2 linked regions of the Daphnia pulex genome follow. The protein of the gene in region 2 purifies or fractionates together with the protein of the main gene of each other region. This does not show direct contact. Links are inferred from orthologs where the notes say so. Each region holds a gene or a part of one and is shown on either strand. Other genes may lie near its edges.

Region 1 (8,267 bases), on a different chromosome or scaffold from region 2:
TGTTTTAGCTAAAACAAATTTACCTTTTGATGGCGTGTGACAGAATATTGGTTGGTGTGAAATTCCTCTCCGTCCAGCTTGACGTACCATCTAAAGCAATTGTTAATGTTATTGATTGTTATAAAATCATGTCTGGAAGTTTCTTGATAAAGTAATTTTTTAGCAACTATCAATAAGTAATTTAGCTTTTCGCGCGTGCACGCACTGCACGGGGCTGCTAAAAAACTTACAAGTTACAAGCATGACTAAATACTAAAATGTTAAAAGGAATATTTTAATACATACGTCGGTACAACTTTGATGTAATATTGAAACATCATAGCTCCTGTAAAAAAACAAACAAACAGAAATAAGTTTTTATTTTTGGCAAATTTTCTTAGCGCAACATTGTTTAAATTGAATTTAAGTCACAACGCTGTCTTCCTATAAAAGCAGACGACATATCGAAGCTATTAAGAGTTATCGCAACAGTCACGCTTAGCTGTACTACGTACAGGGAAAAAATCAGATTCTTGTATTTATTATCCGTTTTTCGCTAACTTAAAATCAAGAAAGATGCCTATGCCCGTAGGAGGTGGATACCAACAAGGCCAGCAACAGAGCTGCTTTGACAAAATGAAGGTTGGCTTCATAATGGGTTTCAGTATTGGCATGGCAACTGGAGCTCTATTTGGTGGTTTTGGAGCACTAAGGTAATGACAACTTGAACACACATGGCAAAGTTTTCTACTAATACTATTTTTCTTTTAACTTATTGCAGACAAGGACTGAGAGGGAGAGAACTGATCAACACTGTTGGGAAAATCATGGTCCAAGGTGGAGGTACATTCGGTACATTCATGGCTATTGGAACAGGAATAAGATGCTGAAGCTAATAGTAATCCCAATTTGAAATTAAATTTAGTAGAAAGCATCAATACATTTGTAATGAAAATCAGATCATTAAATTTCCTATAACTATTTTAACTATCCTAGTATCCTCTACAGTCTTTATTCTTGGCCCTACTGGTTACAGGTCATTTGTCTTACCTTTGTCTGCAGTAGTGAGGAAACCATCTAGAGGGTTTTCCTTTCCAATTAGAGAAGTTCCAAATGATAGTGAATTAATGTGATGTGTGACATTAAAATCTTCAGATGAATAAGGTTGGACATCATGCACTGTGAAAGTCAAATGTGATACTTTTAAGTTTTCATTCTTCAGTTTGACAATTGAAAAAAAAGAACTCACCATGAACATGGTTAATAGCATAACTTTTCCCTGGAGCAATGTGAAATGAACCACTGACTCTATTGACTTCCAAATAACCGTAAAGTTTGCAGCCTTCTTTAAACGCAGAATAGTCTCTTGTCAAATTTTTTTCATTACGGCACTGCTCGAATTCCTCCGGTCTGAAAGCCCAGTTCTAAGCAAGTATTCAAAATATCACTACATGATGCAGAAATGTAAGACTAATTGAGATCCTTTACTTTTTGTCTGTAAGCTTCCCGAACTTCCGCACATGTTTCACAACAACCTTCTTTAGCTCCATAACAACTATTACAGGGTTTTGACGCTGATTCTTCCGTGGATGTTTCTGTTTTGTTGTGAGTTTTGTTAATCTCTTCTAATTCAGCAGCTTGTAAAGGCTCCCCTAACAAGTTTAGTCTTTGTTTGAAAATGTTATGTTCAACTCCAAACTGCTGTTCACCAGATGAATCTACAGCATCCACACTCAAGTCTACAGAAAAAAAAGATTGACTTTTGTTGACATTTTGCAGTGAGCATTAGGACTAATTGTAGTTATATCTCATACAACACTTACATGAACAAGAAATTGTTGGAAATGTGACATCAAAGTTGATTTTCATGTTTGGAATTCTAGTTGTATCCACATACAATTGTTCTGAAACATTTATTGATAGAAAATCTCGAAATTCAATCACAAATAGGAAGGCCTGAATCAATGAAAATTTTAGTAACTTTAAGATATTAGAATATAAGAATTGTAAATACCATAATTATACTGCTGAAAACTGTGACTGCAAAGAAAGATGAAACAAGATAGTAAATAGAAATACTTATAATCTTTCTTCATTGCAAACCTCAGGATCAGTTTGAAAGTATCAACATCTTGTTTGATAGAAGCTTCCCAATACATACATTAAGTGATTTTCAAATTTACAAAAAAATACATACCCATAGCACCAGTTGCTGTTCTTATTGTAAAATCTTCTAAAGTTTTTGGATAAGCATCAATTGTTTTAAAAGCAGTTCCTAGATTCTTAATCATCTTTTATGCTATCTATGTTGGTGTGTTGAATTTATATAAACTGGGACTTCACAAAACACTAATGTATGTATAATATTGTGGGGTTATTTTGACAGCTGTGTTGATCACTTCTTGAGTCTCGATGTTCAGATAATGTTAGATAGGAGACCAAGATGGATTTTTGCGCCACCTTGGATTACAATTCTTAACTCGATAAGTTTTTATCATACAATTTTCATTCAACTACAATGAAATAAAATAAAAACAACACCTAGTAAATTGACACAAGTAGCAAAATTTGATTTGCAAAAATTTAAGGCTCCCATTGTAGATGTGTTCACTTGTACTGCAGTAGCGTACAACGTCGCAAGTCGCAACTGCTTCACGATCCCATCCCAAGATTCCCATCTATGTTTGTCTATTTGACTCTTTCAAAAACAACATTTTTGTAAAATTCGAATTACTTCATACGGGTTATTTTACTGTACATTTCGTTTTATTAAAAATTTAATCTTCAGCGTTCAATCATTCAATCAACACTGTGCATTTTTATAATATTGTAATGATGTGACTAATAAAATGGCAACTGCCTAATGATACCTGGAGGCTATTTGAATTCCAAAAACCTGGGTTCGTCTTCACGTCTCAGTTATGTGCAGTTGTCTTTCTGTGCGGCATTAGGCTTTGTCTTGCTCGTCGCTTTTTTGTTCAATCGGTTACCTGCATGATTTAATAATGAAGGATTTCGTTTTTGCCTTTCTTTTCGTTGCTTCGTGTACTGCATTGTCTGGTTTTTACTATGACAATGGCGTCGATCAAACAGTGGTTCACAAGCATTTGAACAAACGTGAGAAAAAAGAAATGCAGAGTGAAATACTGCATCTCTTGGGTTTAGAGCATCGTCCTCGACCCGTTTTGATGCTACCATCCAAAAAGAAACTTGAGGTGGATGATGGCCTTAGCTCTGCACCTCGATTTCTTATTGATGTGTACCAATCTCTTACGGAAGAAGATTCAGGAGAACTTAAACTGACTCCCGATCTGATTGAAAGGGAATTTAATGTTTCCGATTCAGATGTACACTCTATGGATGAAGCTGATATTATTATGAGCTTTGTTAACAGAGGTAACAGACAAATTACAATTTATACATAATTTTTGAATTAATTACATAGTATTTTCCCAACAGGACAGCACTTACATGGAATAAGACATCACCACAGTTTTGGCAGATTTTGGTTTGATCTTTCGGAAGTTCCAGCACAAACAACAGTGATATCTGCTGAACTAAGATTATACATCAACTTAACAATGGTTCAAGAAAATATGAATACTACTGAAAAAGCAGATGAAGAAGAAACTGAAGGAAAAAGCCAAAATTTTTCTATTACTGTGTATGAAATTGGACTGGAAGATTCATTGATCTACATTGATTCAATGGAAATTGACAGCCATCAAGAAGGTTGGGTAGCAGTCAATGTGTCTGTGCCTCTTCAGAAATGGCTAGTGAATCCTGAAGAAAATTTCGGGCTTCAATTGGTGTGTCGTTTATCTACTTCAGGTTGTTGATAATTTAAATATTTTATGCTAAACTAGTATTTCATGACAATTATTTTATAGGCAAACAAATTTCTGCCAGGGAAGTTGGACTAGTTGGGTCTCATGGCAATGACAAACTTCAACCTTTTATGGTAGCATTTTTTCGATCGTCGATGCCTTCAACCCAAAAGCAGCTTGGCCAACAATTGCCAGTTCCTCCCAAAGAACTAATTGACGATGAAGATTTTGAAAACGATGAAGTTCCAAAGAGAAGTAGCCGAATCAGAAGGCAAACTCCAAACAATAATAAAAAGCGCAGCAAAGATAACGAAGAGTTTGGAGGTTGGAATCCATATGCAGGTAATGTTAAACTAGATGTAGATAAATAAATTTTCAACTGTGATTTTAATTGACCATACTAGATTTAGATGCCAGACTATCGAGGCGTAGCTGTCAAAAAAAGAATCTCTACGTCAGTTTCCGTGATTTGGGATGGCAGGTAACTATTTTAAACCAGTTCACAAAACTAGATGTTTAAGGTGGCGATAATTAATTATTAACCATTTCGAAGCATTACCGGCTAAAATAATTAAATAAAATAGCTTTATTGTGTTCCCATGTGGGCTATCAGTTAAATTTAATAACGTTTTTCTTGCCAGGATTGGATTATTGCTCCCGATGGATATGCTGCTTCTTATTGCAATGGAGAGTGTTCGTTTCCATTGAACGCGCACATGAACGCTTCAAATCATGCCATTGTTCAAACGCTTGTTCATTTAATGAATCCGTATCGTGTTCCCAAGCCTTGTTGCGCACCGATCAAACTGTCCTCAATCTCGGTACTTTATTTCGATGACAATTCCAATGTCATTTTAAAGAAATATCGCAATATGGTCGTGAAATCTTGCGGTTGCCACTGAATATTCTAATTTTATTACCTTTCCTGATAACTAGCTTACCATTTAGCACATCTTTGTTTCATACGTGCTTTACGCTGAAAAACGACATTGTAAATATCTGTGCAATTAATAATTTCAAACGATAATGTTTCATAACATCGTAAATAAATGCTTCACCTCGTTTACGTAACTCACTTTAATTATTTATTGCCGTACCCAGGTGTGGGAGCGGCATTATTTATTAAAGCAAAACTTTTACTTTTCTACCCCATTAATAGGAATAGGAACTCAATGACTAGTTTTGGAATATGCAAATCCTCGAAAAATCTATTTTTTTTTTCTGCAGGAATAGTCGTGCGTATAATTGAAAACGATAAAGTGAAAGGTTATGAAAAAATATGTGGAGGCTGGCGGCAAGAATAAGAGTTAGAAGAGCACTGAGTGGCACAGAAAAATAACAAAGATTTTTATTATTCCTATGACTATTAGTGAAATTTTTCTGGTGCGTTGTAAGTAAAGTGTTAATTTAAAGATTCTTCTATTTCGACTCTGATAACATACAAATTTGCATATCTTGATTCTCGTCGTGCGTGTCCTAGTCATTTTGTTGTCTACACAATGGCCAGACGATGGCATCTAGTGACTAGGCATGAATAATTTAATGTTAATAATAATAAACTATCCATAGAAGCCACAACGGAAATATTTCTTAATAAAGCAGAAAAATCTTGGTTAAGAAGGTGATGATACAAAAAAAAATAACGCGTTGAGTTTTTTTCACATTTTTAAGCAACCTGGCTCCCACAAATTAGGTGTATGATGTAATAAGCTAAGCTCATTTTGTATTTTTGTTTCTTGAAGACTTTGCCGCAAAAATTCTGCGTGTTACCTCTAATCCCTTGAAAACTGGAAACAGGTAGGGCTACAAGAATACAACCTAATTAGATAACATTAAAAATAAAACACAAAACAAAATAAAGCATAAAGATCTTTCCACACCACATTTCCCTCCATTTACCCATAGCTCCTTCCCACTGTTTACTATCCTTCTATGTGTATGGTGTTTCATTTTTCAATCGCTAAAAAATGGCTTGTATATCATAGAAATCTTGCTACATTTTTCTTATGTGACACTTTTAGTTTACAATTTGGTATAGTTTCTGCATTATTTGTTCCAGTACTTCCTTCTAAAGTTCATATTTCACTTTTAAATAAGGTAACAAATCGAACGTCCATCCGTTTATTGTGTGTTGAATGAAAACATTTTTGTGTTGTAGAATGGAGGATCAGCTAGAGGAAAAAGACGTACTGGAAATGGGAAACTGGAACAGCGAATACGATATCGCTGAGGAAGAAGAAGAACGGCTTCTCGAGGATAATGAAATAACAGAGAGCAAACATGGATTCGCCTATGAGAGTGAACAAAACCTTTCCGACATTGAATACGAAGCCCCTGAAGTTGAGGAGGATATTTTAGATCTGGGACTCAATGAAGATATTATTGAATACGAAGAAGTATCCACAAATCGACAAGAAGCCTCCAAGGAGTTGAAAAAGAACACGTCAGCACAACCCAATCAAGGACTTGAAACATGCTCAACCAGTCAGAAAACTGGTACTGTTGACAGTGCTCCGACTCAAAGCCCCCATAAAAATGTTAGCGTCAGGAGTGGACAGCCTGCCAGTTCCTTCAAAAATTTCAACTTCAAACGCCAACCAAATTTCCCTATCCCTGTTCAGATGCGTAATGCACCTCCTTCCAGGATGACGTCTCCAGGATTTCATCATCAAAGACCACATTTTGATGGTCCAAATAGACCTCTGATAGGAAGAGCTCCATCAATGATGGACTACCATGGAGCTCGCAGTGGGTTTTCAAGACATTCAATGCAGATTGGATGTGAGCCATTATTCGTTCAAGATTTTCATCATGGTTTCCCAGCACAAAGATTTCAAAGATTCCCCATTAAAGATCATCACTTAGTCAATCATCCCCAATTCATGGATTATGATAGAAACAATAGTATCAATCGACTGTTCATCAATCCCCACTATCAAGGTTCAGTGACAGTACATGTTAGGAATATTCCATTCCAACAGACGACGACGAGATCAGGACGCCGCACAACAACACCGGCGCACCTACGCGACTATTGCCTTGGGGGCCCCCGATAGGTGGCCCCAAATTCAGTCGTTGTTACCCTACCCCCTATTGTTTATTCCCCCCCCAATTTACTGTACAATATTCAGTGTGTTAAAATAGACGAGAGGTAAAAGACACGGTTTTGTTCGTGTCTAATTTATTCAACTTGGAAACTGTAAGTAAACGGCCCGACACGCCGAACATCCCTATTACATTTTCTACATGGTCCTTCGAACGGTTTTTAACCCAGTGCATAACCGTGTCCTCCCTCTCAAATCACTCAAATCAACTCACTCAAAACTCAAAATTGTGAAGCCGGTTGGGGCTACACAATTCTAGACCCCCCAAACGTTTATCTTTGTTTCTTTCTTTTGTTGTTGGGTGGTTAAAATCTGCCCAAACTAAAACTACTAAATTGTAAAAACAAAAAAGACGTAGAAAAGGGGGGAACCTATGCCCAAAAATTCCATTTTTTTTCTTTCGACTTTTTTGTGCCTTTCGTTGTCGGGCTAGCCTGAGGGGGCGGCCATTGAACACGCCGTCCCAACCTCTGGCCCATAGATCGGCCTGGGCTAAACTACTGGGATTTCGTCTCCTCTTTTCATTGCACGTGTGTCCTCCCGTATCCATTCTTCGCTTGCTGATGGTATCGAGTCAGAAATAATCTTTCTCTTTCTCTCAACATTCACAGAGGAGCCGAAAGGTCTCCAAAACAACCGCTAAATACAATTATTGAATGAATATTCTCTGTCCATCTGTCCTTCCTTAAAAAAAAAAAGAAAAAAAACCCTCTTACATAGGATCCCGAAACATCGGTGCATCCAAACGAAAAAAAAAAAAACTATTTCTCTCTCACGCTCACTGTAGTGGCACGCCGCAAGGGGCGCCACCAACAAAAAAAAAAAAAAAAAAAAAAATTATTTCTCGCTCACGCTCAGTGTAGTGGCACGCCGCAAGGGGCGCCACCAAAAAAAAAAAAACTTTATTTCCTCTCTCGCAAAGTGTAGTGGCACGCCGCAAGTGGCGCCACCAACAACAGAAAAAAACCAGATTCACTTAATTGAGTCATCCAGCCCGGATTTTTGCAGGAGCCTGGGTATTACCCTAGCTCCAAATTTAAATCGATTCTTTTTCAGATACATCCAAGGGATTTCAAACAAAGTGGAAACAAAAAACGGAAACTCATCCGTTCCACGAAACCCCAAGGAAAACAGGAAAAGGAAACGGGCAAATCAGTCGATAAGTGATCGAAAAAAAAAAAAAAATTAAATTAATTCTCTATTTCATCTCCTTTTCCCCAGTCAACAGCTCTTGAAGAGCTACACAACCAGGAAGAATGGTTCAGTCAATGAAAAACACAAGGTCAGCCACCAAAGGCCACATAACAAGAGCAATAACCCGGATCAACGGATTTGCAAATCAAGTAATGGCCCAAGA
Region 2 (8,604 bases):
AAAATCCGGACTAGGTCTATTCTGCTCGGAATCGCAAGGCGATTCTAACGCACGGACACGCACGCACGGACTTGCGTCCTGCTCCGGCTTTTTCTTTCAATAAATTAAACAATTTTAAAGAATTTCGATTCAAGACATTTATTTATGATTCTGTTCCTCAATTTCCTTCGCAAATCGCAATTTCCATTCACTTTCGTTTCCTTATCAAGTAACATGTTTCAACATATAAAATTTTGATTAATAATATATGCAACGGACCTTGTGGTAGGGAACTTTGGCAAGAGTTTGAGCAAAACGCCTCCGGTATTCCCACAAGAAATAATCAATCATGGCACTGCAGTTTTATGTAAAAAATAATTAACAACAAAAAATTTTGAAATAATAAATGCAATTTAAAAAAAATACATACCTGTTCATTGGTAAAGAATTTGTCGTTGTATTAACCTGATGTGATTTTAATTCTTCCTTTATTAATTCCACCGACTAAAAAATTTAATTCATGTTAGTTATAACGAATTGCTTTTTTTTTACTTCTCAATCGTATTATCGTTAGCATACGTGAATCGAGCACCCACGGATTTCCATTTCTTCCCGATCTCCATTTAAAAACATATGATTAGCCAATAACAATCCATGAAGTCTATCGGAATAAGCCATTGCCCCAAAATGAACCAGCGACTGAGGGACCCTGTAATCTGCAAACATGGTGATGGAATCTACATCAGTAAAATTTCCGAATCCCTAAAAAGACATAGATTTAGTAAACATTTTTATTAATTAAAAAGTTGAATTTTTCTTCGAATACCTTCCCTTTGAATATACTCCAAATGTCGGCAACAAGAATTTGTGCTCGCTTGTAAAAGGAAACCTTTTTTCCTTCAATGACCCCTTCATCTCGAAATGATGGGAAGTTTGAAATAATTAAATTTAAAAGCTTTGTGGCACTGTTTGCCGATTGCTTGATGCAATTATAAAATTTCCCATCAAATTTCTCATTTAGGATTTTCCCACATTCTTGCAAAATTCTCCATCTCTCTTCTAAAAGTGGAATAGACTCGCCGGTGCTAGAAATAAATATTTTATCCACTTCTTCTTTTGTTATAGTGGCATAATATTGTGACGATGTTATTGGAATGTCAGCCTACGCAAAAACAATGAAAAATACAACAAGCAATGCAAACAAAATAAGTTACTTTATTATTTAAAAGAAGTTCTAACGCAAATTTATAGATATCACTTTCTACCTCCAGTGCTTTAGTAATCGCAGCGCATAAAGCCATATAACCAGTATACTGTTTTTCGTGGAGCTCAACAGAATAGTGTACATTTTCTTCTAAAGCCCAAAATGAAAAATTTAGAGCATCAGCTACAAATAACCTAAGATTTATGTTTTATTAAAACAGACCGATAAAAATCTTTTTTTTTTTTTTTTATGAAAATACCATTCAATACTTGAAACATCTTCAGTAACAGGCAGTGGATAGGAATGGATCATCATATTGCTTGGTTCGAACTCACGTGAAGCGATTGCTCGTGAAATCTAAAGCGAAAATATGTTTAGACCATGGTCTTTTTGTACTACGACTATTGTACTACAACCATCTCTTTGTCGATACAAAACGAATGTGAAAAGGAATAATACCTCTGATGCAATTTTTCTAATGCCATCTGGATTGATTTCAACGTCCTTTGACACAGAAGCAATGAAAGCAGCAGATTCTCTCGGATTCATCTTGCTCAGAGGTACCGTTAGTATACTAGCCTTATAAAAAAAAAAAAAAAAACATTAATTTTGTTATTTGTTGTTGTTTTGTTTTTTTTCTGATTACAAATGAAACACAATTTAGTTTTTTATTTCATACATGCCCAGACATAATTTTTACGTTTTTACATACCAAATGAAATAAATTGTCCGCTTCGCATGAAGCACCTAATTAGACAGTGTAGCGATTGCGTTATTGTTTCCAGGCATTACTTTTTTTTTTTAAATGCAATTTGCGATTACTTGAGCAGTTACTTACATATGAGAAGCAAATCAATTTTCTATGCACACGACATAAATGGGAACGATTGGCAGTTATAGACTGTTTATTTGTCATACGATAAGGTATGATGGCCTGTCTTTAACGTGATAGTAACTGAATATAATCTCCATCCAATAAATCCAATAGCCGAAGTGACAGCTGGAATATTCGTCCTGCTTCGTCCAGATTGCTAAGGCTGTTGCCAAGTCTATTCCGATTAATTAGGGTGACACCTCAAGAGCACCTCACACAAATGTCAAATTATTTTTGTCAGCTGCAAGGTGCTCTAACACCTAACAGTATAGCCATAGTCTATACTGTCTATACTATAATAAATAAATAGACCTGGATCATATGCTGAGATACAAGTGTCTCAAATTAATGGTGGTTTTTTTGCCTCTTGGGATTTTTATCTCTTATCTATACAACTTGGAAACAAATGACGCCATTTTTTGTGTCAAGTGCATTGCTTTTTTATTTCAAATGTAATTTCAATTAATAGTGGTTGGAGGTGGAAATTCTTTTTACATGTCACGAATGCGTTTTGAACGAATTACCGGCGGACTGCCGGCTGGTAGAGGTTACGTTTTATGACTTAGGCCGCTCGGGTTAAAATGTAGTAATTATTATATTCTAGCTTGCTTCTAGCAAAAAAAAAAAAAAAAAAAAAAAACAAATACAAAACAAAAACAAAACAGAAACAATTAGTTACCCGAAAAATTGTTGGCCAGAGAGCTTGAGAGCTTGAGAAAGCAGTGAGAGCTGTGGACGGCTGTGGACCTGTGTGGTGAGTGGTGAGAGGCCAGTCAGGCCACTGAGACTGCTACGTACTGACAGCACAGGAGACCATGTTGCGGAGACCATGTTGAGTCAGGAGCACGAGCACTAGAGCATTAAATTATGGTTCTGCACTGCGCATCCAAGTAAAATTAAATTAGTGTTGGCAGAATACTCTTTTGCTTTTGCTTATGCTTTTGCTTTTGCAATGTCAATTCAAATAATCAAATTTCAAATGCTATAAAAATAAAGTTTTGAGACATTTGGCAACATGGTGGCAACAAGTCTTTGTTTGGGAGTTTGGGAATTTACTCATTTAGGATCTTTTTCTTTTTGCATTTTTTTTTCTACAGGCTGACTAAACTTATAACATTAGTTATAAACTGTATTGAAGTTCAAGTATATACCGAAGTTCGCTATTTATTGAATTCTTCCAATCTTTCTGATGGTGAAATTCATTCCCTGCCCCATTTTTTAGAATGATTTATTCAAAGGCACTGCGAATTTTTAGTTTTTCACTGCTTGTATCTACATGCGTTGTCTCTGACGACGACGGTTCCAGTGAAGGTAGGCCTGTGTATCAATATTCTATATTTTTGTGAATTGTCTGTTATTTAAATCGGTAATATGTAACAACTGTTGATTCATTGATTTCAGATTTAGTTTTTTCAAGCTCTTTACTGGAAAGTATGCCAAGTTTTCCAATGGGTATGTTTGAAGATGATGAAGAAAATAGCCTCCCCATATCTGGAAATGGAACATTTGGTATACCTAACTTAAACAAGCATCATCCTAAATATCAATGCCATTCCTGTGAACAGCCAGACTGTTCAGAAGAAACCATTTGCAATAATGCCTACCAGGTCTCATTATTGTACTTTAATTCTGTGTAAAATTTATTTACTAATTTTTATCCATTAATGATTAGTGTTGGAAATCTCGTGTTCGAGATATTTCTGGGGTTGAATCAGTTTCTAAGGGTTGTACTACAAATGCAGAACAAGTTGTACTTTATTGCAATACTTTGTCATTTGATGGAAATGGAGAAATTCAACAGGAAAGCAGCTCTTATGCCATAGAATGTTGTGAAGGAAATTTTTGTAACAATGGCACTTTTCCCATGCTCCCTACCACTCAATATTCAGGTAAATAGAAAGGCTACAATGTGGTTCTAAATCCATATTTATTGCTTAATTTGGCTACATCATTTTTTGTCCCCCCCCCCCTCCCTTCTTTTGCAGACAACTCAGAAGATGAAGAATACTATGCAACTGTTTTACGCTTAATGCTAGCTATTCTGTGCCCTGTTGTGATTTTGGGCATCGTTCTGGCTGTAATTCTATTAATGATGCGGCATTGGCACAGACGCCGAATGGCTCGGCTCACCACTATGGAAGGTTCGCAAGATCCTGATTACACTTACAGGGATGAGTTACGAGTGACAGCTGCTGGAGACAGTACTTTAAGGGTATTTAAAATTATTATCATTTCTTTCTATATATCTAACATCAAATTTTGAAAAATAGGAAGTTTTCGAGCATTCCGTTACATCTGGAAGTGGCTCTGGAATGCCTCTACTTATTCAGAGAACTTTGGCCAAACAGGTATTCCATGCCGTTTTCTACGTTCTTGATGGAGATTAAAATTTTTCTTGTCCAAATTTACAGATTACTCTAGGCGAATGTATCGGAAAAGGACGTTATGGAGAGGTTTGGAGAGGATTGTGGCATGGAGAAAGCGTTGCTGTTAAAATTTTCTTTTCTAGAGATGAAGCATCATGGACAAGAGAAACAGAGATTTACAGGTATTCGTCAAATTATCTTTTTAGTTCCAAATTAATTTAAATAATACATTTTATTCCACATAGTACAATGTTGTTTCGCCATGAGAATATTTTGGGATACATTGGATCTGACATGACGTCTCGTAATTCTATTACGCAATTGTGGCTCGTTACCCATTATCATCCCTTAGGTTCTCTCTATGACCATCTGAACCGCCATTCGCTTAACCATGTCCAACTGTTGCATTTATCTATATCGGCTATCAGTGGCATTCTCCATCTTCACACTGAGATTTTTGGAACCCAGGTACCAAATTCATCTCTGTTGTTCCTTCTTCACTTTGAATGTTTAATGCGATCTAGCTATGTTTTTTTTATTATTATTATTATTATTATTTTCTTGTGGTAGCACATTCGTTTGTTCAATTTTATATTTATTTAGGGTAAACCTGCAATTGCTCATCGAGACATTAAAACGAAAAATATTCTGGTCAGATCGAATGGAATGTGCGTTATAGCGGATTTTGGTTTGGCAGTTACTCACACTCAAACAACTGGTGAAATGAATGTTGCCAACAATCCTCGTGTGGGCACTAAACGCTATATGAGCCCTGAAGTGTTGGATCAAACGTAATTACCTATTAATTTTTCGCATTGTATATGGAAACATTTTTAACTTTTTTCCTTTCTCTGTTTTTCAAAACAGAATCAATATGAGTATTTTTGAATCTTTTCGACGGGTGGACATGTATGCTTTTGGTGCGTCTTCGTTAACATTTTTAGAATTCTTTTATTATTTTGTCTATATTTTTTATTGTGTTTTCATAGGTCTTGTTCTGTGGGAAATGTGCCGACGTACCGTGTCGTCAGGATTTGTTGAGGAATACCGGCCTCCCTTTTTTGATATGGTGCCGTCAGATCCGAGTTTTGAAGATATGCGTAAAGTGGTTTGCATTGACCAGTATCGACCAGTTATTCCTATGCATTGGGAATCAGATCCAGTAAATATGTGTTTTTCAACACCTTCATAATTTTATGAAAATCTCTACCTTTTTATACTCTATTAGATCGACTCATACTGTGAGTGGTTACGCTAACTATGTTCTTATCCATTATTTCTGTAGATTCTGTCGGGCATTTGGCACTTAATGAAAGAATGCTGGCACCAAAATCCCAACGTCCGACTCCCCGCACTTCGATTAAAGAAATCTCTGTTGAAACTAGCTATGCAGGATCCATCTCTGAATTTTAGACTTGATTTTTGACAAGCCAAAAGTGGTTGGAGTGGCATGAATTTCAATGAATCTCTCCAAGCAGTTATCAAAATCATGTCTCAAAAATAGGTATCCAGTCTGTCTGTTATTCTACGCTTTTCTGCTACTATTGGCAGATTCTTAATATAAAAACGTCGCATCAAGAACCGGACGAGGGTCGTGACAGCCTGATTTTGCATACGGGCAAAAAATGCAAGTGCCATTAAAGGGTTGTATTTGCCTTGCTCATTGAAAGTAATATTTTGTGTGTTGTTGACTATTGTGTGCCATAAGTGACATTGTTAGAGCGAGAATTCATCGACGTGTTTTACGCGCTAAACGATTGATTATCCTTATTGTATCGAAATCGAATTCCTTATTACTAAAATTATTGCTTACTGAAAGTTTTTCATTTTTTTCCATCGTACCTATAACTATGACCCGAAAAGAAATTCTGTTGACAATAGAAGGCATGAAGGTAGGGTCAATTATGAAATTTATTGTATCGTCCTTTCATGAAATTTTGTTTAGTTTACATTTTTTGATGAGTCTGACGTAATCTCGTTGAAAATATATCCGATTTTTTATGCAAAATTATTTATAAAATGAAAAAAATCACTGAATTAGTGCGGCGGCCCAAAAAGATTGTGGATCACATCACCCAACCCCCAAAAATGCATGGTTTTTAACTAATTCGCTGACGTTACCTTATTACGTTGATCTTAAAACCGGAGTAAACTTTCAAATTAGTTTGTCTAGCGAACTTAAAAATTATTTTGTACTTCCAGCTACATTGAATTAAGCAAAAAAAAATTATTTTATTTTCACTAATTCTGAATAAGGAGGGGATTTCAGTTATTTTATGTAGTCGTATATCTGAATCTGACTGAATTAGCTAACAAATTCCAAAAAATATGGAATCTTCCTAAAATCCTACCTTACGGAATATTTTTTGTTGTTTCTTCTAAAGTGGAAAATTGATGTTTAATGAAAATTTTAATTTCTAGCGATGACTGGATATTAATAAAGACACACTAATAAGGATATTTATTTGATTAATGAAAGAAATTTAAATTCTTTCTCATTAGTATTCAACACGCCCGCTAGAGATGAGAGTTCCTACGCGAGTTTATAGATGTTGGTTGTATAAAAAAACGAACTAGAAACTTCTGAAGATCGCCAACACTTTTTTATGAGATTTTAAAAGAGACTATAATTTTAAGATCCCATTCATAATTATTATGAGACGGATTTTCCACTGTCTATTGAGTGGCTCATCTCCATGTCTCTGTTTCTCCTGTCCCTCTGGCGGCCATACTCCGACATACGTGGAGTGCTGTTTATTAGTTCTTGTCGGCTGAGACAGTAGAGTGTGGAAATCGTTTATTCTCCAATGGAGTTTGTCTTAATTTTCTACCGTTTATCTTCCCCTCAGGTAAATTAAACACGAATCTATTAGATTGTCATACCTTGGCGTAATCCCCGTTGAACAGCAGCAACTGATTGGGTTTATAAATATCTGTATTGGGCGTTAGTTTCGACTTTCACTCGGGTCTCGGGAAAGTATAATTTCGGCTGCTATGGTCTTGCAAAATCAATTTTTGTTTCTGCCTTTGTTGAATTAGGCCCAAATAATGCTGAATTAGGCCCAAATAATGCAAAACATCCATATTTTGGCAAAGGCACTAGCATTGTTCCAAAGATACGCGATTGACATGTACTGTCAAGTAAAAAATATTAGTTTTGGAGTGATTTGTATTTAATCAATATACGCGAAAAGCGAACAACTCAGCATTAGACATCTGAATTCAGCTTAACATACTGCTGTTTAATGGGATTGTTTATTGTTTTACTCCTTAAATAATGAAGAAAACCCTTATGCTCATTTTCTGTTAGTCTATCAATAGTTACTTTAATTTTGTCAACAGTCAAACACTAGAACTACACAGATGCTTCCACCATATGTTTTCATTTTCACATAGTAATTAATTAAGTATTTTATGCAAGTTCCAATTGTTTTGAGAACAATATTTTCTAATATGTGTATATATATATTGAAGTGGTTCATTTATAACTTCATGTGTATATATTAAATAATTAAATGATTCTGCATAATATTTCAACAATTAGTGATGAATTATTTCAGTTATAATGTACATTGAGGAACGTTAGAGACTTGCACGTTACTTTGATGTATGCGATTATTGACATTTAGCTGATTTCAAGGCTCAGCTATTCATTTCTTCTTCCTGTACTTTGCCAAGTAGTAATTACGAAACGCCAAATTAAATTACTGCAGTAGGTTGATGAGAAATCGGGTACAGCAGTTTTGTTGGTATGTTTCTTGTCAAGTACGTATCGATATCAATCTGGAGCTTTATTGTTGAAATTCATTGGCATTGTGGAAACAAGATAGACGTCGCTAAACCGTAATCATTTACTGGATGTAATTGATATCATCTTCTAATTATAACCATAACATTTTTTTTTTTTTATCACTCCCCTTTAGCTTCAATAGGTTGTTTCCCGAGGTCCAGTTAAAACGGAGATTAACCGTTTAAAATAGCCTCAACTCTCCTTTCCTGTACATTTTTCGCTCATGGATTTAATTCCATTATATGTTGAGTTCTAATTTATCAGTCAACCAATTGGAACCAGAATGTTGACGCTGTAAGGATTTTCGTCAAAACCTTTGAAGTTTATCCGAGTCTTAAAGTAATCTTCTTTAAATTGTCTTATACATTGTTCAAACGATGCTCTAAGAACA

The links.
Region 1: the proteins of activin receptor type-1-like (region 2) and bone morphogenetic protein 7-like purify together in Drosophila melanogaster (affinity purification with western blotting, with the first as the bait; 3 studies listed by BioGRID). This does not show direct contact. The link is inferred for Daphnia pulex from reciprocal best matches to the Drosophila melanogaster genes sax and gbb.

Annotation. Positions count from the first base shown.
Region 1 is NC_060021.1:583,971-592,237, reverse strand, and holds bone morphogenetic protein 7-like, read left to right. Parts: upstream 1-2,859; 5' UTR 2,860-2,984; coding exon 2,985-3,375; intron 3,376-3,438; coding exon 3,439-3,810; intron 3,811-3,869; coding exon 3,870-4,148; intron 4,149-4,210; coding exon 4,211-4,287; intron 4,288-4,447; coding exon 4,448-4,708; 3' UTR 4,709-4,877; downstream 4,878-8,267. Other genes in the region: reactive oxygen species modulator 1-like, read left to right, coding at 556-692, 761-869; endoplasmic reticulum-Golgi intermediate compartment protein 3-like, read right to left, coding at 24-90, 286-325, 1,030-1,158, 1,229-1,403, 1,468-1,718, 1,803-1,935, 1,994-2,019, 2,177-2,270; arginine-glutamic acid dipeptide repeats protein-like, read left to right, coding at 5,966-6,763. UniProt on the Drosophila melanogaster protein: Required for the growth of imaginal tissues and for patterning of the adult wing.
Region 2 is NC_060019.1:5,445,684-5,454,287, forward strand, and holds activin receptor type-1-like, read left to right. Parts: upstream 1-3,054; 5' UTR 3,055-3,280; coding exon 3,281-3,368; intron 3,369-3,458; coding exon 3,459-3,664; intron 3,665-3,729; coding exon 3,730-3,946; intron 3,947-4,042; coding exon 4,043-4,269; intron 4,270-4,327; coding exon 4,328-4,405; intron 4,406-4,468; coding exon 4,469-4,605; intron 4,606-4,668; coding exon 4,669-4,891; intron 4,892-5,026; coding exon 5,027-5,214; intron 5,215-5,290; coding exon 5,291-5,343; intron 5,344-5,412; coding exon 5,413-5,585; intron 5,586-5,708; coding exon 5,709-5,849; 3' UTR 5,850-6,431; downstream 6,432-8,604. Other genes in the region: queuosine salvage protein-like, read right to left, coding at 238-334, 410-483, 559-741, 806-1,141, 1,245-1,377, 1,443-1,540, 1,643-1,757, 2,737-2,888.